Linked DNA regions of Mus musculus. The protein of the gene in region 1 purifies or fractionates together with the protein of each later gene. This does not show direct contact. Links are inferred from orthologs where the notes say so. Each region holds a gene or a part of one and is shown on either strand. Other genes may lie near its edges. The genes, in order: Cdk14 and Ccny.

Region 1 (16,127 bases):
GGCAGGTCACAAAAGGTGTCAGAAATACTAAAACAAAGGCACATGCAGTCATTAAATTAATGAGAAGAAAATGTGAACTTTGGCTTAGAATGTCTTATTAAATGTAGAAAAGATCGTATGAGGATGAAAGTCCTACTTTATGTGGAAGGTATAACATTTCTAGAATGTTATGCATCTAAGTACCAGCCTTACACAGCATAAAATATCCATGGGTTTATATAGAAGATATAACAAATATGCCATCATCATCATCACCATAGGAGATGGATAACCACAGTCATTATAGCACTCTGCTAAGGTAAACTGATAGTTTCCGATAAAGCTGCTTCCCCAAAGTATGACAACTTAAGTGGACCCAGAGAGTGGTTCTAGCAATGACCCAAACCATGGTACTAAAAAGGCATGGGGAAAAATTGGTACAAAGTTGGTTCTTTTCATGAAATGCACGTAAGAAATACAAACAAAAGTAGTAAAATAAAGAAACAAGAATTTTATTTATGATTTAAACTTTGCGCATAAACTTGATATCACAACTAAAAATGTATTTCATAGACATTATTAAAAGTGTAGTTTTCTTGGGTGGGAAGAATGAAATTGTCTCCTATTGGTGAGCTCCTTACATTTAGGTACACCTCATTTTATCTAAATGCAGTAACCTGCGGCAAAAACAAAGGTGCAACTGTGAATGTGCACAGTTCTTCAAAACAGTAAGCCGTGTTTCCAGTGCTGCACATAGCTCTCCTAAGTGGAGGGACTGCAGATACATGAGGTTCACCCATCTTATCTCTTAGATGAGAAAATTAAGATCAGAAAAAGAAAATGTGTTAAGCCAGACATGGAAACTCATGTCTCATGTAACCTCAGCACTTCAGGAAGCTGAGGCAGGAGGATGATCATGAGTTCAAAACCTACCTTGACTATCTAGTAAAAAATAAACCTGCCTTGACTGAAAATGAGATCTTATATCAAAAAACCAAAGAGAAAAAGAAGTGGTACTCATTGCTCTGTATTACAAATGTTCGCATGTTTATGGTCACGAATTTAGTGCTGGATATGGGCATACCAAATATTCTAATTACCAGTTTCTTTAAGTACCTAAAGTATAGTAACGTAGAGTTTGGGGTGATTGGCAGCATTTTTTCTTTTTAAAATAAATGGTATTTATTTAATTTGTACAAAATTGTGTCAGGTCCCAAACTCAAATCTGATTGCAGTCTGGTTCGAATGCTCTATTTTATCAAAATGATATAAAATTGATAGGGATGGGATGTTCACTATGTAATTTATAAACAGCACCTTCAGTGTAATTATGCCTTTACTGTGAAGTCTGTCTATTTCAAACTTGAGTTTTAGAGCTGTTAATGACAAATTTGTAAGCATGAGAGGTCTTGAGACAGGAAGGGATAGTGTTGGTGACCTAGACCCCTCTGTAAGGGAGAGAAGAAGGGCTTTGAAAACGACTCCTTTTCCTGTGGACAGATGTCTCTTAGACAAAGACACTTAAAGCCAGTCCTGGGATCTGTCTGTAAATGAAAGAGACAAGTGAAGCAAACATCCATTGCAGCAATGGATCCATCCATTCATGACACCTTGTGATGGGAAGATGTAAAGCTCCACTTTTGTGTCTGCCTGAGTGCATCGGCTCCTTTCCCCTTCCACAGCCCCCTCCTAGAAGCCTTCCCTTCCCACTACAAAAATGTGAGAGTGTGGAGTTGGAGGCTGAGGCTAATGGTGTGCTTAGCACCTTCAAGGCTTTTGAAATTACTGGCGGAGCAGCTTGGCCCCAAGCCCCAGCCCTGTCTGGCTGCCTCTGGGAGTTGGTAGAGTTAACACTGCTTGCAGAAACAGAGATGTGTGGGTAAACGCCTTTGGAGAACATGGATTGCCTCAATGAGCATTCCACTGCCATTCCCTACCTATTTTCTATACCACCAAATGGGGGTAATTCCCTGGTTGGACTCTTATAGAGGGGGTGCCATTCATCAGTGTTGTGTTAATTTTCCATGTCTGATTGCTCTGACCAGCGGAATAGTTTCCATGAAAAGCAAAACTGGGAAGACCAGGCATGGCTGCCACCCAATGGAAAGCTGATACCACATCAAAGGGTTTGCTTCTATCCGTTTCTCCTATAATCTTGCGACACATACCCTCTATCTACTGTTGTTTTAAAGGTCATCTTGAATTGATTGAGCCCCGTATCATTTAAGCATATCTGTTTGTTAACCTGGATGCCGGTATCAGAATGGCTGGCATTTGGCAGGACAGTTGCTTCGGTATTTTTATTTTATTATTATTTAAGGCAAGAAAATATAAATTCTTTGAGGGAAAGTAATTTTAGTAACCGGAGAATTTAATAACTTAATAACAGCTCTATTTTAATTCCCCTAGTTATTCGGTATTAATTTCCTATAAATGCATCCATATGTGTATGCCATACAAAGAGTCCATGAATGAATGCTGGCAACTATTTGATAAACTGTCATCTATAATTTTCTACTTCTGAACTTACTTTCATCCATTCTGAAATAATCAGTACTTTGCTTACAGTCAAAATATTTTAAGTCAACAATCCTTAGCATATCTAGAGAAAAGGACATTTTAGGATAACACACAGTGGAAGGGTGCATGTGCCTTCAGTTTGTTTATTTCAGCAGGTAATTTAAGTTGTTTCCCTGGCCAGACATAAACTGAAGTACATAAGATGTGGCATGAGCCTTAAGTCGTACTTAGTGACTGTCTCCTTCGGTCTGATGTTTTCTCTGTTTTTGCTTGTTTTCAGGCTCAGCTATGTAAATCATGCTGAAGACTTGGCCTCCAAGCTTCTCCAGTGTTCCCCAAAGAACAGGCTATCAGCACAGGCCGCCTTGAGCCATGAGTATTTCAGCGATCTGCCTCCACGGCTATGGGAGCTGACTGATAGTGAGTAGGACTCCAGCATCCAATCGGAGCCCTTGGTCATCAATGTGTAGTATGCATGTAGATAGATGGGCTCATTCATGTTGCATAAACATAAGGTTGTGTGTTTGTGTGTATGCATTCTGTGTGGGTGGGTGTGTGTGTGAGAGAGAGATGAGAGAGAGAGAGAGAGAGAGAGAGAGAGAGGAAGAGAGAGAGAGGAAAAGAGAGGAGAGAGAGAGAGAGAGAGAGAGAGAGAGAGGATTCAATCGCTCAAGCCAGAAGGGGAATTGTGTGTATATATATTTATTGGAGTCCTGCCATTCAATTGCTAGCTTACCAGACACAGAAAGAAAATGGATTCATTTTTTGCTATCTCTCCTCTGCAGTCGGCAGCTGCGCGTCTTTGTATTTGATTATGTGTGTGTCCAAAAAAATGATCTGAGCAGTCATAAAGGAAAATATGATTTACATATTTAGTGCTTTCTGCATACAGTACTATTTTAACTGGCTGCAGTACACAGAGGAAAAATGATTCATTTCTGTTTGATTTTCAGAGACCATCTTGGTTGTAACAATAACCTTCAAAAGCACTGCTAGGCAGTGAACTGAGGACCCGAACTGGCAATTGGCAAATACACTGAATTGACATGTAAGAGCTGAAGACATGGAATTCATTTTAGCTACACATGTTCTTGGTATTTGTACAGACAGCTCTTCTCTAGATCTTTTTAAAACAAAACACATTCCTGGGTGGGTTTTTGTTTTGTTTTTACAAAAGTACTCATATTTACACAGGCTTTTTCAATTACATTTAAAGTATTTGGGGAAGGATTTATGGCTGGGAGGATCTCAGCTTTCTTCCCAAGTGTGAAGCAGAATTCTTGTGAAATTTTGAAAAACATTGTGGCAGCAGTAGGAATATTTTTATTCAGTGGTGATATGTTCCAAAGACCCGTTAGAGATATTTCATATTTCCTGATTGCCTTAAAAATAGCATACGGCATAGATAGATAAATATTTATAAGGCATTTATTAATTCTTATGCATACATCACTTATAGTAGACAGGAAGTTACTTCCTTTGTCTCTGGAATTTATGACTCCCCTGCAGCATTGGATTCTCCATAGCAACAGTCAGCCACCCTTTCTTTGGATCCAAATCCTAAGTAACAACTCCCCTGAGTCTTCTTAACCTAACTTTTCTTTTTCTATCTCACACTTACGTGTGCTTCTTGCCCCTCCCCGCCAAGGTAGCTATGGGTGTATTAACCTGATGCTTTCCTTATGCATTCAAACCCTCATTAATATCTTAAGCATTCCCAGCCTATATTTCCTTTATCATCTATCTTACTTCCTTTCTAAAGGTCGATCCTTGATTATAACAGTGATTCCAAACTTTAAAGGAAAGTACAAGACTTAAATTTATAGGGGAGAGGAAAAAAAAAAAGGAACGGATCATACCTCTCCCTGTGCTGGAAAAGACGAAAGGGAGGCAGGGCCCACTGTGTTACAGCCCGCTGCAATCAAAAACGGGGCTTGTTTTCCCTATGCAGTGTAGCTTCCACCTTGACCTCCTTGGCGACAGCTCAATGCTATCTGACTTGATGATGGAGTTTAAGCCAGGATTTTGAGAGTCTGCGAATTCCCAATTCTGTAGTAGTACTTCCCTGTTAATATGGACTTATTACCCATTTGCCACTTAGTTTATCAGCCAGTGGTTAAATCCAGTTGCTATAAGGGAGTAAATGCCTACACATTATCACCGAGCAGCAGCCTGCCAACCGAGACAGCCCCGTCCCTGTCATTAACAAGCACAATGTATGCAGAACACCAGAGGGGAATTAAAACCACAAAAAATACCTCAGGGTGGTATTTTTAATATGAGAATTTAATTTGTAATTTCACAGATTAAGAATTTTGGCTGCATTAATCCCTTTATCAGCTCACAGCAGGCTATTTGCAGAAGCATAACCATAAGACGATATTCATTGGCAGAAACACGTCTCTGCAGAACGTTAAACATCATGAGCAGCGAAACCTTTTGAAGGGGGGAGAATAAAGATGAAAAATCATTATATTTTTAAAGCAAGATCCTACTAAATGCCTCCAGTAACAATTTTGAGTTACAGAAATGCTATTTCTGTGTCGGGAAGATAATCATTATGAAGGGTAAATCGATTCGCAGAAAGGACAATCCCAGCACTAAATACTACAGTCATTTCCATTTAGAACAACGTGGCTGCCCTTGTAAACATGTTTTCAAAACAAAGAATCCCCAGACTCATGTGACTTTGGGAATTAGTTCCTTAAAGTGAATGAAGGGCTCGTGTTACTCTTGTCTGAGTATTAGGCTGACAGTACTTGTAAATTCTTGACATTCTTCATATTAAACTTCAGATGAGCGTAGATTTTTTTTTTTTTTGTAAAGTTCACTGTCTGGTAAATGACAGAATGTGTGACACTTCAGAACCTTTCCATCTTCCAGTTCAAGGGTGTCTGGGGGAGGGTGCACCTGTCACAGCAATACTGCAGAACCAAGGAAGGGATGTTGTCTGCAGCCAGCTCAGAACGGATGCCTCACCAGTTCCAAGATCCAGGCTGTCTTGGTCAGCTCACATTGTCCTAAGGAAATAGCATGGCACGGGGAGGCTAAAACAACAGATATTTATTCTCACAGTTCCAGGGGAGGAGAGTTCAGGACGAAAGTGCTGCCTGGTTCTGTTCCTGGTAAGGGCCGTCCTCATGACTCCCAGGCGCCCCTTTGCTTGCTCTTACAGGACACAGAGAATATTTCTCATTTTTACATGGCTACTAATCCCATCATAAGGACCACTCCCTTCCTGAGACCATCTACATTTTATCACCTTCCTAGTCAGGCCCTCTAGGCCCATATAGTCCACATGGACATGAGAATGAATGGGGCCAGTTGGACCTCTTAGGGAAGTGACCACCACGGAGCAGATAATACAGTTGATAGGGCTGATCTGGATTGAGCAGGAACCATGGTAGGAAGTATAGAAATAGAAGCATTCATGGCTAGCCAAGCCCTGAGAGTGGTACAGGCAAAGTCAGCATACATTTCAAAATGGCCACGGATGCACCGTAGATCTGTGAATGTTTATTGTAGTTATGTAATAAGAAAATTTAGAAGCAAAGTATTAGTGTCATCAGAGCAGGAAATAGAATAAGTGCATCAAGCAAAAGTAATTATAGGATTAGGTAGGGAACTCTGTGGCAGCCAGGCTGACCAGGGATGGTGACAGTGTCAATCTCCTGTCCCCAAATCCAAACAGCCTTGCTCTATTCCTTCATAAGGATTTAATTGCAGGGAAATAAATAGTGGGTTGATTTAGAAGAAATTCATTAGTTTCGCCAAGCACACCACAGGGCATTCTCTGTGTATACTATCAAGTTACATAAATAATTGAAGCTGAACTATCCCTGTCGAAGTAAATGAACAAAATACAGTTCACAGCGCAGAGGCCTTGATTTCATTACATTCATTTGCTAATTCACAAAACTCAAATCTCCTCAAAGAAGGCCAGCAAATTGGTCCGGTGTGGAGAGCAATGAGCTGGGAATCACACGCCCTAGCTACAAGCTCAGCCCCACAGGTCCTGGCCAGGCAACTGTGGCCATGTGCCTTGGTCCCTCTGTGCTCCCAACTCCTCATTCAGAGAGCAAGCTGAAGAAGGCATGGAAGACCCACAGGACCTTTCTAGAGCTAGTGCTTATAGTCTCGACTGCATTGTCCTGTATAATACTCTAACAGCACGATGCTATTATGTAGTGTTGTGCTATCTTTTTATGAATATGGCAAGCACACCTATTTTTTTATTACTGAATTTATTTAATTTGACCCAGGGTTGCACTATATGTAGACTAGACTGATCTTGAACTCACAGCACTCCCTGCCTGCAGAGCTCTGCCTTCCTAATGCTGGAATTTAAAGCTTGCATCACCCTGCTGGCCAGTTGAACAGCTCTGCCCTTTCCTTTCCAGGTTCCACCTTGAGTGTCTTCTGTGTAGGTGGTGATAACCCCTGTGATGCTATTTCAACCCCTCTGTCTCTGGGGCTTCCCCAGCTTTTAGCTAGATCTGTCCGTGGAATTAGTCACATTTATCTGGCACCTTTTCCTATTAACACATCCTTCCCTTGGTTCCCCATGTAGGATTCTTTCATGGTTTGACTTTTACCTCCTGCAATGTTGCTTTGCAACCTCTCTGATCTGCCAGGCAGGCTAAGGAATGCCGTTGAGTTCCCAATGTATTCATTCTCCTTAGACCTTTCTATCTGGTTCATTCCCTAGAGCTGAGTGATGGCATCCAGCCTCAAGATTTAAATATTATCCACACACTGACACTGACTCCAAAGGTCCCTAGCTCGCAGACTCTCATATTCAAGCAACTACTTAGCCTCTCCTCTTAGCCCTCTGTAAGACACTGAAAAGCTGGGACTGCTAGAATCAAACTCACGATCTATTCACTGCAACCAGCTCCTTCTGAAACTTCCCAAATGTTAGAATCAAAAAGTACTTCTCTCAGGCTCGGGAAAGATGGCTCAGTGGTTAAGATCACTGACTGCTCTTCCAGAGGTCCTAAGTTCAATTCCAAGCAACCACATAGTGGGTCACAATCATCTGATATAGAATCAGATGCCCTCTTCTGATGTGTCTGAAAACGATGACAGAGTACTCACGTATGTAACATAAGTAAATCTTTTCAAAAGGGACGTCTCTCATAAATTATTTTTTAAAAAATGGCAAAGACTTGTCTCCGAATCCAAGTGTATCATTCTAAGATCAGCAAAACAGGAGCCGTGGCTCTACCTCATGCAAATGTGTATGTGTGTACATGTACGTGTGTGTGTGTGTGTGTGTGTGTGTGTGTGTGTATACATGTGTAAGTGCATATAGCTGTGTGTGCACCTTTGACCACTTGGCATTTCAAAACCGACCCTTACCACAGCGTTTCACATGCTGTAAATCCAGAGAGAATCACAGTCCTCTTTAAATAAAGTGTCAACATGTGTATAAATATGTAAACGGAATATCGCATTCTCTCCTCAGTGTCTTCTATTTTTACCGTCCCAAATGTGAGATTGCAACCAGAAGCTGGAGAGAGCATGAGGGCCTTTGGAAAAAACAATAGTTATGGGAAAAGCCTATCGAACAGCAAACACTGACAAGCCCGGCACTCTCAGGAGAGCACAGGTAAGAGGCCCTGCTTTGCTGGAGAGTAATGTTTGCAATAGATGGGGAATACAGTTTTCAGTGAACAATTTCAGTCTCATTTCTCCCTGAAGCTGTCTTGTGAGTCCTGTGGGCTTATTCTGGCCTGTGTCAAACATTTTGCTGAGGCAGAGAACAATCACTGATGTCAGCGTTTTCAGGCACCTCCGAAGCTCTTAGTAATGTTGTGCTGGATCCTGTAAGTTCGCTCTGCAGTCACTCGCAAACCACTGAGTGCTGAGCACCCAACTCGATTACTCCTGAGTTCATCACTGAAGTTAGCAAAGGTCCACTATGAGCTGGACCTGAACCACAGACCTGTTTTATTTGGCCAATGCAATTTGCTTTTAATTATTTGCTGTCATTTTAAAATTGGGATACTTCATACAAAATTCTAGATTTTTAGCTTTTCATGAAGTATGGGCAACTCTGACAATGCCCCCAGTTCTGCCCCACCAGACGATCTCATGTGTGATAAGAGAAAATGTGCAGCTGTTGTTGTAAGCGAAGTAGCTTGCCAGGTCCTCCCTGGGCTCTGATTCCTGTCTGGCCCCTGCCACAGACCTATTGAGGTAAAGCTCTGGGTCTCATAGTTTGCTTCTTTGACCTCTACTGTTTTACAGGTAGGAACTGTGAACTATCATGGTGATGTTCAGGCATGTTAACCTGTCAAGTTATTGCACATGCCCAGGGCCAAGTTTAAGGCAGTGATGTCTAAAAGGTTGTATCTTTCTGGGTTACCAGAAAGAGATGTCTGGGGTGTTTGGTTGGTTTGGTTTGCTTTGCTTTGGTTTGGTTTTTCAGTTTTGGTTTTTCAAGGCAGGGTTCCTCCCAGTATTCCTTTCTGTCCTGGAACTTGCTCTGTAGACCAGGCTAGCCTTGAACTGAGAGTTCCCTCGCCACTGCTTCCTGAGAACTGAAATTAAAGCGGTATACCAACACTACCCACTTCTCACCCTTATGGGGAAGCCCTTCTCTAATGCTTTTGGCAGAGCATGTTCTGTGTTCCATAACTAAGTGCTGAATGACGTGAGCTGAATACAAGAAGAACTGTTCACGTGTGTGTGTCTGTGAGGATGTTGGGGATGGGGGTGATATAGGCAAGAGGTTGATATCAAATACCTCCCTCAATTTTTGTCCACCTTATTTTTTAAGACAGTGTCTTTCATTGAACCTGGAACTCTCTGACTCAGGTCCAGCAAGAAATCCTCATGTCTCTGCCTCAAAAGCATTGAGTTTACAAGTATGAGCTACCTGCTTGACTGGTTGTTTTGTTTTGTTTTGTTTTGTTTTTTAATTTGGGGGAATAGCCTGATTCTCTCTTATTTGGAAATATGGTAAGAAGCAAGGTGGATTTATAGCAAAGACGGTGCACACAGCTCTTCGGTACACCTGCCAATCTTCAGCCATTTTGGAACCTAGGTTTTTATGCCCTCAAAATGGAGGTTAATTTTGCTAGCCTAGGGATGTGGCAGTGATTTATGTTGCTTTGGAAGAGGAAAAAAGGCTCCTGGTTAAAGTGTGACATGTAAATACTGGCCAGTAGATACTGCTACTAAACCACGGATGAGAGGACAGCTTTCTTTGGGTCATTGTATATGAAGTCAGTGTCATCTGGGACCCACTCTGAGTTGCAATGGTCAGATAGCTTGTGGCTTAGAGTCTAACCAGTTTCTGACCAGTAGCCTCGTGGTTCTGAGAATGGTTTGATTCATAAAAGTTACATGCAGCATGTGCATTTTAATGGTATTTAGCTCCCGAGTTATTAACCCTCTAGCTAATTCAGTAGAATAAGAATGAAAACTGGCTCTGTTTTATTGATTCATGCTTACATGCAAGACTGAATTTCAGTGGCAGGATTGTGCTTGCGTGTCCTTTCTTCTTGGCTCTTCTGAACTCTCCTGATCTACCCAGTCAAAGTTGCAAAGATGTGCTTAAGATCAGCTCATTATTGTACAATCAAAAGGAGCTGACTGGACAGAGAATTGCCCGGAAAGGCTCAAAACTTGCTAATTGAAAAGAGATTTTCAAAGGTGCTCAGAATTGGAGCCAGCGGTGCTTGCTAAGCTCACAGTCCACTTCCTCACACTGGGTCCAGGCTTAGCTCCACAGTGGGCAAGTGTCTCTACAATTGTCTGATAATGTACAAATATTCTCCTTATGACTGTTATCTTTGTCACATCAACGTTGAAGTCTTCAGCATTGTTGGTCCACAGAGCACATCTGATTCAGCAGGCCATTAAAGAAACATCTCCATTCTTTTCATAAAAGCTGCAGAAAATCTGGATTCTAACATGTTGCTGTCAACACAAAAAGAAATCATCATAGTTTCTTATTTTACCAAACATTTCCATGTTAGAGATCAGATATTTTATTAGTCCCTACAACATGTGGCATGGCTCATTTCTGTCCAGTAGATGAATTTCAAGCTAAGGAGATTATGAAAGAAAAATATCATGTTAATGAATCTCAGGAAGAAAGATGTCATCCTCTAGTCTTTGGTTTTCTTTCCTGGTTTTAAATGTATTCATCACCTGTTTGGAGTCTGTGACATATTAAGTTTCCCTGAACTGTCTTGATTTTTTTGTAACACCCATAGTGACAGAAAAAGAGAATGAAGGGAAGAGACTGGGGGCTGAGGTAGTCTGAGCCCAGGCTAGAGTTTTAGCCACCTCTCTCTGCTGATCAGCAGGCTCTTGGTCTGGAACTTGGATTGTGTCATGCTGCTTTTGAGATGACAGGGACAGGGCATGCAGGAATGCTCCAAGTCCTAATATTTCTCCTGTACCTCAGTGCCACATTGTTCCCTTTCTTGCAAACTGAGGTCACTTCAATTATTTAGTTAATAATGTCTGGTTTGCATAAATTGGCCTTAGTGGAAAAGCTAATGCAAAGCATTTTGCTGTGTAGAAGAAAGCAATTGGGTTTTAGTCTTGTAGCAAAATTAAATGACAAGAAAGCCACAAGTGCCAGGGTTAAGACTAGGATCGCTGCCACTGGTGCTCACTGCTGAGCTCCATTCAGCTCCTTACTCTCTAGCCATGTTACTTAGCCGTCTCAGAGCTTGTCCCACTCGTTTGGTTAGCATTGAGAGTTGAACAAAACCCAAGCAAGTTTCAACTGTACATAGGAAACATTCATCAAGGAAAATACCACTGGTAATATCAAATGTCACATCCTTTAGTCGCACTTACATTTGTATGTGGTGATACCAACCAGAAGTCTGTGCTGAGGTAATTTTTTTCAGTGTGCTGATGGGATAGAGTGGGTTGGTCACTGTCTTTTTTAAATAATCTGGGGATAAGAATACCCCTTCTCCACCAGTGATCCTATGCTCTAAGATCAAGAATCGACAAATGGGACCTCATAAAATTGCAAAGCTTCTGTAAGACAAAGGACACTGTCAATACAACAAAACGGCAATCAACAGATACGGAAAAGATCTTTACTAATCCTACATCTGATAGAGGGCTAATATCCAATATATACAAAGAACTCAAGAAGTTAGACTCCAGAGAACCAAATAACCCTATTAAAAAAATAGGGAACAGAGCTAAAACAGAGAATTTTCAACTGAGGAATACCAAATGGCTGAGAAGTCACCTAAAGAAATGTTCAACATCCTTAGTCATCAGGAAAATGCAAATCAAAACAACCCTGAGATTCTACCTCATACCAGTCAAAATGGCTAAGCTCAAAAAGTCAGGTGACAGCAGATGCTGGCAAGTGTGTGGAGAAAGAGGAAAACACTTCCATTGTTGGTGGAATTGCAAGCTTGTACAACCATTCTGGAAGTCAGTCTGGTCATTCCTCAGAAAATAGGACATAGTCCTACCTGAGGACCCATCTATACCACTCCTGGGCATATACCCAAAAGATTCTTCAACATATAATAACATGCTCCACTATGTTCCCAGCAGCCTTATTTAAAATTGTCAGAAGCTGGAAAGAACCCAGATGTCCCTCAACAGAGAAATGGATACAGAAAATGTGGTACATTTACACAATGGAGTACTACTCAGCTATTAAAAACAATGAATTCATGAAACCCTTAGCCAAATGGATGGACCTAGAAAATATCATCCTGAGTGAGGTAACATAATCACAAAAGAACACACACGGTATGCACTCACTGGTAAGTGGATATTAGCCCAAAAGCTCAGAATACCAAAGATACAATTCACAGACCACATGCAGCTCAAGAAGAAGGAAGACCAAAGTGTGGATGCTTCAGTTCTTCTTAGAACTGAAAGGGGAACAAAATACTCAGGGGAGCAAATATGGAGACAAAGTGCAGAGCAGAGACTGAAGGAAAGGCCATCCAGAGACTTTCCCACCTGGGGATTCATCCCAGATACAGTCACCAAACTCCAGCACTATTGTGGATGCTAAGAAATGCTTGCTGAAAAAGAGCCTGATATAGCTGTCTCCTGAGAGGCCCTGCCAAAGCCTTACAAATACAGAGTCAGATGCTCAAAGCCAATCATTGCACCGAGTGCGGGTTCCCCAATGAAGGAGTTAGAGAAAGAACTGAAAGAGCTGAAGGGGTTTGCAACCCCACAGGAAGAACAACAATACCAACCAACTAGACACCCCAGGGACTAAGACCCCAACAAAGGAGTACACATCGCTCTAGCTGCATGTGTAGCAGAGGATGGCCTTATCAGGCACCAACAGGAGGAGAGGTCCTTTGTCCTCTGAAGGCTCCATAGATGCCCAGTGTAGGGGAATCAAGTGGGTGAGTGGGTAGAAGAATACCCTCATAGAAGCAAGGGAAGGGGGGTGGATTAGAGGGTTTCTGGGAGGGGTAAAGGGATAATACTTGAAATGTAAATAAATTAAAATAAATAAATAAATAAATAAAACACTTAGAGTAAATGTGAAAATAGTAAAGTAAGGTGATAAAAGAAAAAGGCCTCAAAGGGGAAAAATGGAGGGGAGTTGCTAAACACATACATGCGCACGCACACACACACACAAAACAAGAAACAAAATTATTCCCAATTTGAAAAGTTTTGAGAACAAGATTAGATCAGTGTAAGAATGGAATTGAAAAATGAGTTTTTAGAGAAACAAAACAAAACAACCTCTCCCCCAAATACTCCCAAATTCAATAAAATAAAACCAATGTAGTACTAAAAGTATAATGAAGAAAATAAGGTTGGGGAAAACAAAGAAGTAATGGGGGAAAAAAGGTAAAAGTGAGATTATCCAGCAATCTTAAAATGTATAAAAATTTGGCTGGAGAGATGGCTCAGTGGTTAAGAGCACTGAATGACTTCTCTTCCGAGGTCCTGAGTTCAATTCCCAGAAACCACATGATGGCTTACAACCATCTGCAATGGGATCTGATGCTCTATAATGGTGTGTCTGTAGCTACAGTGTACTCCTATGCATAAAATAAATATATCCTTTAAAATTGTAAAAAAAAAAATCCCTTCTCAATGAATGAATAGTCTTGGACTCCATTAAACTCATAGTAACCTTACAAATATTTGTCTAGTGTATGAAGTAATACTGTTTGGCTCAATTGTGAGAGATTAACTATGCATACTTTGGCGATCTCCTTCTGTTTCAGCATATCATCATTCTTAGTCCAAATTATTTAAGAATTACATGACAATGAAAAAAGTCCTCAGCCTCACTTTCCTTACCCCAGTCAGTGAACAGTCATTTCCTCAAAGTGATCTGTTAGGTAAAGAGATTCAAAGCTATTCATTGTTCAAGAGTTTTCACTGACTCACTTCATTGACTAGGATCAAGGGTTTGGTTTTGTTTACTTGGCACATTGTTTGTTTGCCAAAGTCTATTCATGACCTAGTGTGCTGCTGCCACCTTCTCTGAAAATAGGCATCTCATATTCTAGGACACCAAACTCCTGCAAAGTTTTCCAACCCAATACCTGGGGTTCACGAATCAATATTTTAACAAACTCCAGTGGTCATTAACTGACTACTGAGAGATGGAGAATACATTGTCCCTGGGTTGAGCTCACTAAATGGTTATGTAATACCTCATGGCCACCTCTAATCACATATTCAAAGGAGCAAAATTGAATGGGCTCAGTGGGTTGTATTTATGTATTTAATGGGGTGGTGTGAACATGCGTGTGTATGTGTATATTACAATAATTACACAGGCTAAAAACGGGGAAGGGGGGGTGGGTTGGAAAGAGGAAAAGGTAAGGCAAAATGACAGAAACACAGTACTCATAGTCCAAATTCTTTAAAAAACATATAAGAACTTAAGGGGACCATAGATAGTGAAATCTTCAATAGTTATCCAGGGATTGCATGTTTATAAGGTAAAATCAACAACTTACTTGAGTCAGGACAGAGTAAAGATAAACTAGGAAAATAGTATACCATGAAGCAGAACTATTTGTTCTCCCTCTTTCCTTTTCCATAAGAAAGAATGGTTTCATGGTGTGTAATGTAGGAATTGTATGCCCATTTAAAATTACTTAATTTAATTTCAATTCACCTTAAATATCTCTTCCTTGCTAGAATTTCTCGTGCTGTATAGTTGAAGTGCATAGATACCAGGTCTGAGGAGACCAGGCAGGCATCACACAGTACCCTTCTGGACAACACTGATGGAGAACTCTTCTTCCATCCACCTATTTTAAGGAAAAATCAAGAAAACAGAACAGAATTCATTGCAGTCAAGTGTATCTTGGTGCTAGATGAAAGTCGCTTTAGAAGGACTCGGACGGTGAGAAAAGAGGCACTTGGCCAAAGCAAAAGGAGCCAGAGCCAGGTGACTGAGTTACATGAGAGGCATGGAAAGACACAATGCCTGGTGCCCACAAGAGCAAGAGATGACATTAGCAAGGGCCATAACTCCATTGAAGTGCCATAGTGGCTTCCTCCGTTAGCAGTAGTATGCAAAAGGAAGGCAGACTGACAGTCGATATAGCTGCACACACTTCACAAAGACAGGACTGTAAGGCAGAAGCCAACAGTAGCCTTAATCTGTCTGCCATATTGACTCTGGAAACTGCTCCAGGAGATGGAGGTGTCCAAGGCTCCCCTTCCATGCTGTGACATTGTGGTGGGTCACTTTTACAGTCGGTGTCATATTGTCTTCATCTTCTCTTCACTTTGTAGTTTCTGTTGCCTTGTTTCTGCTTACTCATGGATCCATCTTCCTCTCTCTTCTCTTTGTCCTATTTCTGGAGGAATCTGCTACTGATCTCTTATTACCTTGGATCCTAAAACCCTCCTAGAAAACTGCTCTGATTTGTATAACCAGGAGTAGAAACTGAGGCTATTGGGTGAACCCTCCCTTTATGAACTACTGGCTGATTCCAGGCTGCTTCTAAATCAGAACTGAGCCTGATCTGACCAAGCCAGCTCAGTCAACAGGTTCTCCAGCACAGGAGAGAGGATTAAAAAGAAAAAAGACAATTAGAAAACATTGTAGCATGACCCCAGCCAGTTCTGAGGCTGGGGAAGGTTTCTTCTTCCCAATCCACTTTTATACCATTTTAATTACATTCAAGTAATTCAGTCAAGCAGTACAATAAACACTAATAGTCAAGGAACAAGCAAGGCAATAAACAAAGTCCCAAGATCACTCCCCATCACTGTTTCTGAGGGCTTATCAGGTTAACCAAGATATCTAAGCCTACTTCCCTGTCCTAGCCCAAAGTCTTATTCTTGCCAAAAGCCTACTTCCCTGTTCTAGCCTAAAATTATATTCCTGCCTGAGCTTACTTCCTTGTCATGGCCCAAAGTCAGATTCCTGCCTGAAGCCCATTTTCTTGTCATTGGCCAATGTCAGATTCCTGCCAAGCAGCCCCTAAAGCTCTCCACACTGGTCCAATCCACTTAGCTGTGAGTTAGGAGGCCAGGCTGTTCATAAAGACCCCTCAAAATACAGCTCTGCACTTGCCCATCCCAAAAGTTTCAGTGATGCAAAGAAGCCAACCATGTGCCTAGATTGTACATTGCCCTAGCTGTGCGGCACAAGAGGAAAAGGCTGTTTGAATATGATA
Region 2 (16,127 bases), on another chromosome or scaffold:
AGACAGCTACATCTGGGTCCTTTCGATAAAATCTTGCTAGTGTATGCAATGGTGTCAGCGTTTGGATGCTGATTATGGGGTGGATCCCTGGATAAGGCAGTCTCTACATGGTCCATCCTTTCATCTCAGCTCCAAACTTTGTCTCTGTAACTCCTTCCAAGGGTGTTTTGTTCCCACTTCTAAGGAGGGGCATAGTGTCCACACTTCAGTCTTCATTTTTCTTGAGTTTCATGTGTTTAGGAAATTGTATCTTATATCTTGGGTATCCTAGGTTTTGGGCTAATATCCACTTATCAGTGAGTACATATTGTGTGAGTTCCTTTGTGAATGTGTTACCTCACTCAGGATGAGCTTCTATACTGACCTGCAATCCTGATTGTTGAAAAATTCTATACATCAAATACTAAAAATCCAAATGGAAAAGTTATAGAACATTTAAAAGCATGAAGCTATAGTTATTCCCTTAAAATAGTTTGTTTCTTGGCTCCACGTTTGAATCTGTAGAGCATCGTTGAGGGCTGAGAGTTTGGATAATAATTCTCATGTGCTAAAATAAACGTGAAAACATCTGAAATAGGATACAATTGGGGATGGAATGAAGATGTCGACTCTTATTACTGTCTTGTTCTTAACATTCTTGTCCTATGCCTTATTAGGGTCATCTCTGATTAGCTAAATCAAATAGCTGTAAGACTACAGGATAATATGCAAAAGAAATTGTATATTGTTTGAATTCAGGCCATTTACCTGACCTACATAATTTTTTAAATTCAGATTGAATAATTGCATCACTGTTGAAGTTTTCTTTATGTATGTTCGTTGCTGAGCTTGAATTTAATCTTTTTCTGCAAAATGCCTTCCCAACCTTTTCTTTGTCTGTAGTCAATGGAGTACTCTGTGATTCCGCAGTTGACACTAACCTGTACTGTCTCGAAAGTTCCTAGGCTAGTCTTTTGTATGACTACAATGTGAAATTTTAATTGAACAGTCAGCACTATCTAGAAATAATATCATGAAAATCAGTATTACGTGACTTAGCATAGAATCAGAGTACAATATTAGAACATTTCCCCCAAATATGGTATTACTGACAAGTTCTGCTGAATCACATGCTAGGAAGATTTGTTCACTCTAATTATCTCCCACAATGTATCAGCTGCTTTCCTCACATGTAACATCTTATGATGTCTCCATTCTTCAGTAAGCCCTCAGATGATTTCACTCACATATCAGAAATCAAGTTGGTTCTTTCAACAGGCACAACAGGCAGAGTATTATTGGTATCCATCAACTAAGATAATTTTAACTCAAAATAAAATTTCATAGCCACCTTTGTACCTAAGCCAGTAGAAATTATTTCATTGCTGAGATTTCCCCAACTTGTGTACAGAAGCTGTTACCAAGCTGTGGGAAGATGTTGCGTCTCCAGTGTCTATGAACTGAGAGGCCGAGGTAATCCCAGTTTCTGTTTTCTGCCTTCAGAATAGTTTTACCTGCCTTACCCTGTAGAGAATGGGAAGAGTATTATTGTCAAGACTTGAGAAAGTACAATTTGGGGTTCTCTAGAATGCCCAGCTGAAAGTCAGCCTGGCCCCAACCAGTTATTTGTTTTATACAAATAAAAATCATTCTCTAAAGCCCACCCTCACTGCTCATGCTCCTGTATGATAAATTCCATTTAAAATCCAGATATCCAGAGGTTGTTACTGAAACGATTAACTTTCATTTCTGTCATCAACAGCCGGCTCTCATCCTTGTGACAAATCCTCAGAGCCAGCCACAGATATTCTCATAGAGCAGTCTGCATTCCGACTCCTGGTTTTCTGGGCTTCCCTCCATGGCCGCTGATTCTTATGGGTAATGCAGAAGAATGCCTTCTTGATCACTTTGAGCTGTCTCTCTAAACCTCACTGCTTCAGCTCCCTCCATCTGTGCCAATTCTTTCCTGAATGCCAGTGGCATTTGGTCACTTTCCCCATTAGCTTCCTTCTGCATTTCCTTGCTACTATTTTTGTTGGAATATAACTGTGGCGGAGGCTGCTCACAGTTTTAAGCAGATTTCATTAATGGATACCTCATGTGAGACTGGGGGTGTATTAAAAAACAAACATTTTGGCAGCATTAATCTGTCCCAGCCTTGTGCGGGGTGGCACACAGTAGGGCTGTTATCAGGAACTTAGGATTTATTGTAGAAAGAGATAATGAAAAGACTTAACTATATTGAGCTATTTCCAAATACTTTACTGCCTCAGGAAGTCTTGGGTCTCTTAACACACTTGACTTAGCTTTTCTTTGGAATCTGGAATGTTAGTTCTTGCTGAATGTGATGACACACAACTGTAAGTTTTTTCTTTGTATTCAGAGTGTGACCTGGTCCATCCTGCATACCACATGGTATTAGAAAGTAGCCATAAGAGTCTAAATCTTCAAGATCTTAAAAATTGGTATTTCTTAGTGAATCACTGAAAACAGAACAGTGATCTTTGGGAACCAAGCAACTGTTACTGTCTTATTTTGTGCATACCTGGCAAAGTTTGCTTCAGTTGGAAGGAGCAGTATTGAATACTTTGTTTCTCAATATCATTAGGTAGAACAATCTTCCTATATGTGGTTCAGGGGCAGGAAATGTTGGAGGAGGAGCTGACCCAGGTACCCTGCTGCACTGACTCGTGATTTCCCCCAGCAGCCGGAGTTCGCTTCTGGAAGGAAGCGTCTCCATTCCCTTTCCTACCCTCATCTCTCCTCAGCCTGCCCTCTTAACTGCTTCTCTGGCCTTCATGCTGTGCTGAGTTTAATCTTTGTTGGTTACTATGAGAGACAGAAATTCCATTTCCTTCCTCGGTACTTGGAAGTGTGTGAAAAACCTCTGAGTTCTCCACACAAGTATGAGCCCAACAAATAGAATGGGCCAGATCCACTTTCCGTTCCAACTTCCTGCCCCATCATCCTGTCTCCAGCTCCAAACAAGGGAAGGGACTCCCCTCTCTCTGCTACTCTTCATTTCAAGCCTTGGATCTGCCTGCACAGACTCAGTCATGTCTCCATGCTCACAACCTATGGGATATTTATCTCAGACATAGAGCACACAGTCATATCTGCAGTTACCTTCCATACCTTTTCCCCTCTGGAACCTCCAGTTTCTAATAAATGTATTTAGCCAACTGCACATTCCAGAAGTCTTGGGTACTTCCAAGATGGCCATCTTTGGCACCTTCGAGATCATTTCCTGCAAGTGTCTGAACTATATTTAGATGGTCTCCACCGAAAACACTACTTCTTTCTATTTAGCCTGATTCATAATTTTCCTTCCAAGTGCTACCTCAAGTCATGGGTGCTTCTCAGGCCCCTCTCTGACCCTGACTGGAGGCTCAGGGTCAGCATGGTGCATCCACTGGGATCTGCACCTAGACACTGTTTGGCAGGTAAGTGAACTCATTGACCTGTCTCCTTTCTCTTGTCTGCTGTCATTAAGTCTATGGTGCTGCCTGGTGTCTTACTTTTCACTTCACCTAGTTCATCTTTGCCAGCCCATGCTATTGTCCTGATTCTCTAGGACTTGGCCAAAACTGAGCCTCTCCTGGGAGCCCCAGTACCATATCTGGTATGGGTTTTCTTTCTTTAGGAAATCTCTGTCCATTGTTGGGCTTCCTGTGGAGTTCTTATCCCCTTCAGGACCTTCAATCTTAATCTCCAACTTCTCCCTAAGAGTTCCAACTGGATGTGAATAAAAAATTTAGTAAGTAAGTTTAAAAAAGAAAAAAAAAAAAGACATAGAAGGCAGGAATTATATAAAAAAAATAAATAAATTGGACTTTATAAAAGTTATACATTTTCTTTTCCACATGTGGCTTTTTATACATTTTATAACTATTTAGGACTATACATACACGTGTGTGTGTGTGTGTGTATGTGTGTGTGTGTGTGTGTGTGTGTGTGTAAGAGTAATATATACATAAAGCTATACATATTCTATCTTTTTATAAAGCAAGTTCTTAAGAGTATTACAAATCTGAGTTTCATTTTTCTCATACAGAGTTTCATTTTGTAAATGAAAAGCAATAAAAACTGCAAAATTGATTAAAAGAAGCTTTAAATAGTCTAAATTAGTTATGGGAAACTAATAGGCAACTTACTTAGGACACAGTTTTTTAAAAAGTGTGTGTGTGTGTATTTGTGTGTTTGTGTGTGGATGTGTGTGTGTGTGTATTTGTGTGTGTGTGTAGTTGTAAGCCACCTGATATGGGTATTGGAACATAACTTGGGTCCTCTGAGCCATCTCAACACCCTGTGACATCTTAAGTGAAGGACTTCCTGTTTGTTTTGTTTATGTGTTTGTTTATCTGTTTGTTTTCTAATTTTAATTTTTTTACTTATTCAATTTACATAGCATTCACTGCCCTCCTCCTGGTCACCCCCTCACACAAGTCTTCCTCCCCTCCCCTTCTAGGTATCCCCCCCCCCCCTCATGCTGGCATATCAAATCTCTTCAAGGCAACCCGGCAAGAAGAACATATCCCACATACAGTTAACAGATTTTAGGGTAGCCCCCCTTTAGTTGTTCAGGACCCACATGAAGACCAAGCTGCACATCTGCTACATATGTGCAGGGAGGCGTAGGCCCAGCCCATGTATGTTTTTTGGTTGGTGGTTCAGTCTCTGAGAGCTCCAAGGGTACAGGTTAGTTGACTCTCTGTTAGTCTTTCTGTGGAGTTCCTGCCCCCTTGTGGGTGGCAATCCTTTTTCCTGTTCTTTCATAAGAATCCCCAGGCTCTGTCCACTGCTTGGCTGTGGATGTGGGTGTCTGCAAGCATAACAGAGTATTAATTAATAGTTTCAGGAATTAGTGTTTGCCCATAGGATGAGTCTCAAGTTGGGCTGCTTATTGGTTGGCCATTCCCTCAGTCTATGCTTGATCCCTGAAGTATAGAAAAGAAAAATTTGGGGTCAAAATTTTTGTGGGTAGGTTGGTGTCCTTATTCTGTTGGGGGCTCCTGCCTGGGTACAGGAGGTGGCCTCTTCAAGTTCCATATCCCCTGTGCTGTGAGTCACACCTAAGGATACCCCCATTGATTCTTGGGTGCCTCCTTATTCCAGGTCTCTGTTTTGTCCTGAAGATGCCTTATACTGACTGAAATAAACCAGGGCCTAGAAGATAAATATTGTATGATGCACTGGTATAAAATACTCATAAGATACTTGTTCCTAGAGGTACAAAGGTACAGTAGTGCTTGTAGGAGAGTTGGCAGAAGGAGGAATTGTAGGGGCTAGAAAAAAAATTGTTCAGTGTAGATATATGTTAATGTTAATATATGTAGAATTTCATTTAGAGACAATAAAAAAGCTGCATATTGATGGGTAAAGATAGTTACTGAACATTGAGCATACCTAGTGCTTCAGATACAATTAGAAATGATTGAGCATAGTGTTGTGACATGTGTTCTACTATAGTAATAACCATATCAGCAGCCACATGTGAATTGAAATTACAATGAAGCTCAGTTTTTTAAAAACTATAGGGGGCAGGAGGATCCCTGTGAGGTACATAGTAAGATCCTGTCTTTCAAAACAAACAAACGGTGCCATTATGCTTCCGGAAAAGTCGCAAGGAAAAGTATTTCAAGCAATGGTTGTGGCTGTGGGGTCGGGCGGGAAAGGAAAGGGTGGAGAGATTCAGCCTGTAAGCGTGAAAGTTAGAGAGAAACTTCTCCCAGAATATAGAGGCACCAAAGTAGTTCTAGACGACAAGGATTATGCCTTATTTAGAGATAGTGACATTCTTGGAAAATATGTTGACTGAAATCACTGTTGAAATGGTGTCACGTGAAGCTGCCCATTTCACTGACTTTCTGAACTATTTCATCATGTAAATAATTTTCCATGCTCAATAATAAATGGATGATGCCTAAACTGGCAGCCATTGTCCCTGACGTTTAGATTCATTGCACTATTAAAACATTTCCAAATAAAATGATGTAAAAGAGTGGAAAAAAACAAAAGCTCTGTAACAGGCAACAAGATGGATGACTCAGGAGATAGAGGCACTTGCAGCATAACCTGGAGACATGTTCCATCCTCAGAGCTCACAGGAAAGGAAAGGAGATAGCTGGCTCCATAAAGCTGTCCTCTGGCTTCCACCTATGCAGCATGGCACATGTCCTCACACAGCATACAATGATTTTTCAAAATAAATGCTGAATAGGTCAGTGGCTAAGATCAAGAATAAAATACTTCATAGATGAAGAAAAAAATGCTATGTGGCCTTTACATGCTTTGTTTGAGAAAGTATTTTGACCAGTGGCTTTGAGATTTATACCAGTCTCAATATTGACAAGGCAAGCTACATTTTCACTGTTAAAGTGTGTGACCTCCAGCCTGTGTCTAAGCATACTCACTGGTCTTGAGTGCTTTAAGAATTAGTGTGTTCTGGTGCACTTATGGCCTCCAGATCATTGTTCTCAGGGACTCTTGATTCTTCTTTTCTTGTCTTGTCTTCTCTTGTCTCTTCTCTTCTCTTCTCTTCTCTTTTCTTTTCTTTTCTTTTCTTTTCTTTTCTTTTCCTCTCCTCTTTCTTTCTTCCTTTCTTCCTTTCTTTCTTTCTTTCTTTCTTTCTTTCTTTCTTTCTTTCTTTCTTTCTTTCTCCAAAGAAGGTTTTATTTTTCACCAAATGTATTATCTATTAACCATTGTGTAGAATTTCTCAAAGAACACATAAAAACAGTAGTTTCTGAAGATTGCTAAAACCATCAAGGAAACAGAACTACAACAAAGATCAGCTGACATAGACACATTGAGAAGAATGTGGACACCCGCCTGCCATGCTCGTTCACTGCCAAGTGCTTCTTATCTCGTATCTACCTCTAGATACACAGAATCTTAATGCCTTCTGTTTCTTTACAGCAAAGATTTTTTTCTTTTCCATATTTTTAATTGGATATTTTCTTTATTTACATTTCAAATGTTTTCCCCTTTCCAGATCTCTCCATTGGAAACCCTCTATCCCCCCCCCCCCGACTCTATGAGGGTGCTCCCCCACCCACCCACTCCCATCTTCACACCCTGGCATTCCCCTACACTGGGACATCGAACACCCACAGGCCCAAGGGTGTTCCCCTCACTGATGTCCAACGAGGCTATCCTCTGCCACATAGGTGGCCAGAGCCATGGGTCCCTCCATGTGTACTTTCTGGTTGGTGGTCCAGGCCCCAGGAGCTCTGGGAGGTCTGGCTGCTTGACACTGTTGCTACCCCCATGGAGCTGCAAACCCCCTCAGCTCCTTCAGTCCCTTCTCCAATTCCTCCATCGGGGACCCCATGCTCTGCATCTACCTCTGTATTTGTCAGGCTCTGGCAGAGCCTCTCAGGAGACAGCCTTATCAGGCTCCCTTCAGCAAGCACTTCCAGGCATCTATAATACTGTCCAAGTTTGGTGGCTGTACATGGGATGGATCCCCAGGTGTATTGTGCAAATGAGTGGTTCTGTTTCTTGTGCCTTCTCTTGGGCGTCTTTCCTTCTGTTTGATTTGTCTAATTTTGCTGCCTATGTTAGCCTTTGTTTTAGCTTACTGTATTTTATTTTATTTTATTTTATTTTATTTTATTTTATTATCCCTTCGTAGCCTGTTTGTTTCCTAATGAGGGACAGAAAGGGAATGGATCTGAGTGGAATGGGAGGTAGACAGAATCTGAGAGAAGTAGAGGGAGGGAAAACTGTATTCACAATATAATATGTGAGAAAAAAATCTATTTTCAATAAGAGGAGAAAAACAGGTTTAAAAAATCTTAGGTTATATATTTTAAGTGTACTCAACACATTTCTTTATATATGTTTAGTGTGCTTGGTTTTGTCAGTACCTTTGCCATTGCTCTTATAAATGACATCATTTCAAGACACGTTTTTTTACTAATTACAGCAGATTATTCATATAAAGAAGTAAGTGTGTCCAGGTAACTCCTAGTTAAAAGACTTTTGAGTTACTTGGGTGGAGGAGACAACTGAAAGCTTATTAGCATTGGTTTCCTCATGTCTCTTGTCTCCTCAGGTATACCTTGAAAGGCTCTTGACATACGCAGAGATTGATATCTGTCCAGCCAATTGGAAGCGCATTGTTCTAGGGGCAATCCTGCTGGCCTCTAAGGTGTGGGATGACCAAGCTGTGTGGAATGTGGATTACTGCCAGATCCTGAAAGACATCACAGTGGAGGACATGTAAGTTCCGGGGATACCATGCCTATTTGGGGTGGTAAAAAGTGAGTGAATTTAGCTGATGGTTTTAAGTCAGTCCAGCAGGAAACCTGGCTATGGAAATGTAGTGAATTGTATTTCTCATCACTTTGACCAGGAACAGGTGCTGGCAATACTTTCTAGTTTCACAAAGTATTTGCTGAAACTCTGTTCCAGATAAATATTTCTTTGGAGATTTATAGTTAGGTTTCCGTGTCACATCGGAATAGTAGTAAAAGTCTATGTTCCTCTGTGGGCAGCAAGCCTAACCGGAGAAGTTCAGAAACTAAATTAGAATATTTTCATTTGGCTTCAGAGGACACATTCCATGTTTTGGCATATTTGGCAAGTTCAGATACTGATAATCGGTTCTGTACTCTGGGGCTTGATTTGCACAAGCATCATTCCATCATTCTCTCTGCAAAACCAGTGGAGGAGCCTCCACATGAGGACAGCCGTCCACCTAGCTCCCAGGGTTATGTGATGATGTCCCACTGGACCAGACCTCAGATTCTGTGAGAATTACTGGCTGAGGGCCTATCCACGGGTATCAGAAAACTGAGAAGGGAACGCTGAGTCATAGAAGCACTCAAGCCTCTCAACCATCAGGAGTCTTTAGTCAGTTCTTGTGTTCTTTGCTTGGCTTAACACTTAAGCTAACCACCTTGAGGAAGGAGGTTACTAGCTATATACCAGTCACACCACATACTTGGACCAATAGCCCTAGAGCGAGAATCTTATTGCAACCTGTGTGGGAGAGTCACCAGGCTAGAGGCACATTGGCTACTAAATGATATAGCCAGAATTTACATTTCTTTTCTTGGGAACGGTTGAAGCAAAAATCTTCTAAACTATATATGATATTGTATTTTTAAATGATCATCTGTCTGTCTGTCTATCTTTCTATCTTATCTATTTATCTGTCCCTCTTCTATATAAAAACCTACAAAATCTGACCAAAATTCCTTCAGCTGAAATTGAGTGTAAAGAATGGTTTGGAGGCTGGAGCTGGAGCTCAGGATCTGAGCATCTTGGTTTGGCCCCAGTACCTGCAAGAGAGAGGGAGGATTATTTTGATGAGCATACACTAAATATATGTTCTTTTGTGAGATCTTCAGTACCATAAATAATTATCTGTTACAATGAGGTTGGAATTTCTTTTCAAATAAGGATTTTTTTTTTAAGAAAACTAGTTTTTTTGAAAGCATTATGTTACATGTAATACTAGTATGCAAAATATAGAACTCATACAAAAGTTCTATGTTTTCCATATTTTGTCAAAAGAAAAATAATGGTTTTTTTAGACTAGTTTCTGTCCTTTCTTTGAACCCTATTGGTAACCAGGCTCATTGATTGCCAGCAAACCACATGCTAATTCTCATCAGATCATAATAGCCTGTGATGGATGATAGCTTTATACCAGTTTTGAGCAAAGGGAAAAAAACACACAGTGACCACTCGGTTCCAGAGTGTAGACTGTAACCAGATGTCTCGTGCAATTGCCAGTGTTTGGAGGTAGAGACAGGGGATCCAGACAAAATTCAAGCCCAGAGTATATATAAAAATCCTTTTGAGGAAAATAGAATGTACATCTTGTGCCCTTCACCTACCTCTGGAGACTATGGACCTCTATTAGGCCTGCTCCTCTCTCTCCTGACTAATTAGCAAGCAGCCTATTGAGACTCTTGTATGATGACCATTTGTTCTGAGTGACAAAGTTCTTGGTTTGAATAGCTATTTATATGCCGAGAAGACTATGTTTTCTCAGAGGGAAACTGGTGACACAGGTGGGGAGATCTGTGGTGTACAAGTTTGACTGCCCTGTCCCAACCCCAAGCAAAATACCCAAGGCCATGGAATTCTTCCTAGTATGGCATCAGTGAAAAGAATGTTCTGTATAGTGATCCACCATGACCACAGAAGTCGTCACACATTTAGCTTGGTTTATCCATCTTTAAAATATTTTGGAAACCTTTATCTGTCTACTATGAGATGATGCTAAAACTTTTTCTTTAAGTGTGATAGCATACGCCTTCATTCCCAGCATGCAGAGGCTGATACAGGATGATGCATGAGGACCAGGCCAGCCAGATACCAAGACTTAACTCAGAGAGAGGACGTGGACAAGTTTCTCTCATCATAATTTGTGATTAACCCCATTTTAAAATGGCAAGTGTGAGCCAAACCCTGAGTGCCACCATTATTCATGTTCTCAGAGTCTGAGGTTTTAGATTGTCCCCTTTCTCATTGAGCTAAATTTTCTTTTGAGTTTCTTTGCTCCTTAATCTGTTCTTAAATTATCTGTAGCAGAAAACATCCATACAAAGTGACACTGTGGTGCTGCTTCCCGGACTGTAATAGAATCACTTATAAACTTCTTTACCTCAGTAGCACCCAGTTGATCAGCACAGTGTGAAGAATCATTTGTGGTGGCACATGCCTGTAACCTCAGCACTCAGAAGTGTAGGAGGAGGGTAAGTAACAGAGCAGCCTGGACCCTGTCTCAAGAAAAACCAACAAAAAATAGGAATCTTTAAAGGTTATAGAATAAACTAAATCTATTAATGAGATTGGTATAGCTGATTTACTCCACCAATTCATAATTTTATTATTACCTCGTGGCACAAGTTATTCTCATTGTTATCTTCAATAATATAGTAGCTTCGAAACGTGACATTACAAGGGATTTTGTTATATTAATGCCACTGAACTATTTTTAGGTTTTTCTGAATTACATATTAAAATCATAGTCATGTGTTAATACAAGTTACCTAATTCCAACTTTTTTTTTTTTTTTTTTTTTTTTTTTTTGGTATTAGCTAGCTGCCCACTGAAATTGTTTTCTCAGTAGCAACACTTTAGAAACTCCACTTTGGGATGAGGAACCTATGTAAGGCTGGGTGCACAGCCTGCCCCACCTCCTAAAACAGAAGAAAAGTGGTGGAAAGAGGCCAACCCATTGATTTGCTCCCTCTCAGAGGCCAGTGAGCTTTAGCAAACAAAAGTGATAGGAGATATAGTGATAGGAGTGATAGGAGTGATAGTGAAAGGAGTCTTCCCCCATGCTGTGCTTCTCAGCATGCATTTGTCTCAGATAAATGTGTATCCCAGCACTAAGACTAGAACCCACATAGAGGCCTGTAACAGGTTCTGGCTGTTAGCAGCCAAATTAGATCTCCTCAGAGTTCAAACATTCAAAATCTGACCCATAAAACTCAGGATGTAACTATAATTGGCAGTAATGTTTTTGAAGAAGACATCAACTAAAAATGGGGTCATCAGGATGGGCCCTAATCAAATGTCTATGTTGTCCTCACAAATGGACAAGATTGAGCCATAGACACACAGAGAGATGGCAGTGTGAAGGTGCAGAGAAGGCAGCAATTTCTAACCAAGGAGAAAGGCCACAGCAGATTGCTTGATACTGACCTCTCATCCTTCAGAACCAAGGGGAAACATTTGTTGCTTAGGATACCCAGTCAGTAACCCTGGTATTTGGTCCTAGTTTTTTTGAGGAGACTTTTGCAGATTTCAGTCTTGGGAAATCTTGCTCTAACAAATTCTTGAAAAGGTAGGGGGAATGGGGGTAAAGGTAGCTTTGAAGCTCAGTTCCAAAGGATAGAAGAGATTGGAGGCATGTTTTCAAAAGGAAAGTTAACCCTGGATTCTTAGAGATGGTTGATAGAAATAGAGACATTGATAGCAGTTCTATTGAGGGCTTAGAAAGAATACAGCTGTGGGGAAGGTTGTTTCATCTCAGGTATGAGCACAGATCCTGTATCATGACCAGACCTGAGGGTAATAGGTATAGAAGAGAGTAAAGATTCCCAAATCAAAGGGCCAGCAAACATCTTCAACAAAATTATAGAAGAAAATTTTCTTAATCTAAAGAAAGAAATGCCCATAAACATACAAGAAGCCTACAGAACACCAGAGACCAGAAAAGAAAGTCTTCTCGTCACATAATAGTTAAAACATCAAATGCACAGAACAAAGAATGAATATTGAAAGCAGTAAGGTAAAAAGGTCTAGTAACATATACAGGCAGACCTATTAGAATTACACAACTTTTCTCAACAGAGACTCTAAAAGCCAGACTAAAAGATCCTGGCCAGATGTCATACAAGACCCTAAGAAAACAAAAATGCCAGCCCAGGCTACTATACCCAGCAAAACTCGCAATTACCATAGATGGAGAAACCAAGACACTCTAAGACAAAACCAAATTTAAACATCTTTCTGGGGCTGTAGGGATGGCTCAGCAGTTAGAGCACTGACTGCTCTTCCAGAGGTCCTGAGTTCAATTTCCAGCAACCACATGGTGACTCGAAACCATCTGTAATGGCCTGATGCCCTCTTCTGGTGTGTCTGGAAATAGCTATAGTGTACTCATATACTCTCTCTCTCTCTCTCTCTCTCTCTCTATATATATATATATATATATATATATATATATATATATATATATATGTGTGTGTGTGTGTGTGTGTGTGTGTGTGTGTGTGTGTGTGTGTGTGTGTATGTATATGTATATGTGTATATATGTATACACACACACACACACACACCAATGTCTTTCCACAAATCCAGCCCTAAAGAGGATAATAGAAGGAAAAGTCCAACACACGGAGGGAAACTACACCCAAGAAAAAGCAAGAAATTAATCTTTCCACAACAAATCCAAACAAAAAAAAGAGACACAAACATAATTCCACTTCTAAAAACATACCCAGGGCTGGAGAGATAGCTCAGGGGTTAAGAGCACAGACTGCTCTTCCATAGGTCCTGAGTTCAGTGCCCACCAACCATATGGTGGCTCACAACCATCTGTAATGGAATTGGATGCCCTCTTCTGGTGTGTCTGAAGACAACAACAGTATAGTCACATGCAAGCAATAAATAAATAAATAAGAAAAAAAAAACATACCCAAACTTATGGACACAATGAAAGCAGTGCTAAAAGGAAAACTCAGCTCTGAGTGTCTCCAAAGAGAAACTGGAGAGAGCATACACTAGCAGCTTGACTGAAAGCTCTAGAACAAAAAGAAACAAATACACCCAAGAGGAGTAGGTCAGGAAATAATCAAACTCAGAGCTATAATCAACCAAGTAGTAACAAAAAGAACTATACAAAAATCAACAAAACCAGGAACTGGTTCTTTGAGAAAATCAACAAGATAGATAATCCCTTAGTCAGACTGACTAGCGGGCCTAGAAACAATATCCAAATTAACAAAATCAGGAATGAAAGGGGAGACATTACACCAGAAACTGAGGAAATTCAAAAAAATCATCAGATCCTACAAAAGTGTATGCTGAACAAAACTGGAAAACATGGATTAAAAAGGATGATTTTCTAAACATACACCAGTTACCAAAGTTAAATCAGGATCAGATAAACCATTTAAACAACCCCATAAACCCCAAAGAAATAGAAGCAGTGAAATCTCCCAACCAAAAACTCCCAGGGCCAGATGGTTTTAGTGCAGAATTCTATCAGAACTTCAAAGAAGATCTAATACCAATATTCCTCAAACTATTCTATTAAGTAGAAATAGAAGGAACACTACCCAGTTCTTTCTATGAAACCACAGTCACACTGATACCTAAGCCACAAAAAAAAAAGAAAAGAAAAGAAAAAGAAGAAAGGAAAAGAAAAGAAAAGAAAGAGTACTACAGACCAGTTTCCCTTATGAATATCGATGCAAAAAACCTCAATAAAATTCTCTCAAACCAAATCCAAGAACACATCAAAATGATCATCCACCATGAAGCAGGCTTCATCCCAGGAATGCAGGGATGGTTCAATATATGGAAATCCATCAATGTAATACACGATATAAACAAACTCAAAAGAACAAAACCACGTGGTCATCTCATTAGAGGCTGACAAAAACCTTTGACAAAATGCAACACCCATTCATGATAAAAGTCTTGGAAAGATCAGTAATTCAAGGCCCATACCTAAAAGCAATATACAACAAACCAATAGCCAGCATCAAACTAAATGGAGAGAAACTCAAAGCAATCCCACTAAAATCAGGGACAAGACAAGGCTACCCACTTTCTCCTTACCTATTTAGTATAGTACTCAAAGTTCTACCCAGAGCAATTAGACAACAAAAAGAGAACAAATGGATACAAATTGGCAGGGAAGAAGTCAAGATATCACTATTTGCAAAGAACCTGAGGACATAACAATGTGGTTGAGACCATGGGAGACCCAGGAGAACAACTACCTGTAGGACAAGGAGGAAAACTTCAGCTGCCTCCCTCCAACAGAAAAAAGATGGTTTTAGCTGTGGCTTTTGTCTCAGCAGTCTTGACAGACTAATATGCTGTAAATGGTTAAAAGGTATAGTTACCAAGGAATCTGTAGCCTTGAACCACATTTGTAAAGAGGCTTCACACTGTTATTGGGTGATAAAGTGGAGCTCTTAAACCCTACTTTCTATAAGAAGTCCTTGATCTATACCTTTGCACCAAAGCTTGGTAAGTCCTCTAGAGTGAAAGGGGGCATATCATTCAAGTGACTAAGGAAAGAAAATACCTCTTATAGAGGATAGCAGGATTGAGGCCTCCTTGGAAGCAAGGAGCCCGGGCCAAGACAAAGATGAACACAGCCTACTCAGCAGTGGGCTGTTTCCAGTATCCTCAAGTCGGACATTTCTCTGGAGTCTGCCTCCTGACGAACTGTGTGCAGAAGGTCGTAGTGTAAGGTTTGCATAGCCACTGGACCTACACTCCTATCTGCAACTGTCTGAGAGGGCAGTTGGTTCCATCTACAAACTTGTATTGGTCTCAGTTGGACAGACAATCATGCTCCCCCAACCAGGCCAATCTTGTGCAGGTAGACATAAACCACAGACTAGTTGTTATGTTCTCACGCCATCACAAAGCAGATTTTGAACACCAAAGTATCAAATGATAGTTGCTGAACATGGGAAAGCAGATGCTGAGGCCTGGTTGTGCTGAGTTCTACGGGCATGTGTAGCTTGTATGCGTGTGTGGTTGTGGGCATGGGTGTGTGCATGTGTAGAGATCTGACAGCATTGGATGTCAGTCCTCCCCCTCTACCTTGAGATAGGCTCTTTGTCCCTGGCCAGTCGATACAACGAGCTGGCTGTCCAGTGAACTGAGGATCCTCTACTTTGCAACTGTATTTGGAGCATGGGAATTATAGATATACAGTGTTGTTTCCAGCTTTTACTTGAGTTTGAAGAGTTCTGAGTCAGGTCATTGTACTTTCAAGGTAAGCATTTTACCTACTGAGCTATCTTTCTAGTCTCTACTCAGACATTTCTAAAAATTTCACTTGGCATTTGTATGATTCACTTGTGTTTGTAGTAGTCCCTTTAAGGGTCATTTTCATATGTATTCTGGGGGAATCTTCAGTGACCAGAAGCCAGGCTACTTATCTATTTATCACAGACAGATCAGGACATAAAGAACCTCAGTCCCTCTGTTGGTGCCTGGTGTCTGTGGTGGTGGTTGTTGTTTGTTGTTCAGTTTGTGGTTAAAATATGCATAGCATGAAACTTTTATTTTTAGCATTCAATAAACTGCACTATTGTGCAGCTAGCTCTCTTTCTTTCCTCCCTCCAGCCTAGCCACCATTCTTTCTTCAGAGAATTGAAGTTTTTATACAGGTCTTTCACTTATTTGGTTAGATTTGCACCAAGATATTTTATATTATTTGTGGCTATTGTAATGGATGTTGTTTTGCTGATTTTTTTTAGTTGATTTTTTTTATCGAGCCACCGTTCTGAAGGTGTTTACAACTTTAGAAAGAAGTTCCCTGGTAGACTTTAGAAGTTCCTGGTATCATACTCCAATAGCAATACTTTGACTTCTTCCTTTCCTGTTAGTATCCCTTTGATCTGCTTACTGCTCTCCCTAAAACTTCA

What was found.
Region 2: the proteins of Cdk14 (region 1) and Ccny purify together in Homo sapiens (affinity purification with western blotting; 3 studies listed by BioGRID and IntAct, with this or other methods). This does not show direct contact. The link is inferred for Mus musculus from reciprocal best matches to the Homo sapiens genes CDK14 and CCNY.

Annotation. Positions count from the first base shown.
Region 1 is NC_000071.6:4,880,820-4,896,946, reverse strand, and holds part of Cdk14 (cyclin-dependent kinase 14), read left to right. Parts: intron 1-2,779; coding exon 2,780-2,919; intron 2,920-7,966; coding exon 7,967-8,082; 3' UTR 8,083-8,110; intron 8,111-16,127. UniProt on the Homo sapiens protein: Serine/threonine-protein kinase involved in the control of the eukaryotic cell cycle, whose activity is controlled by an associated cyclin.
Region 2 is NC_000084.6:9,324,862-9,340,988, reverse strand, and holds part of Ccny (cyclin-Y), read left to right. Parts: intron 1-8,038; coding exon 8,039-8,205; intron 8,206-16,127. UniProt on the Homo sapiens protein: Positive regulatory subunit of the cyclin-dependent kinases CDK14/PFTK1 and CDK16.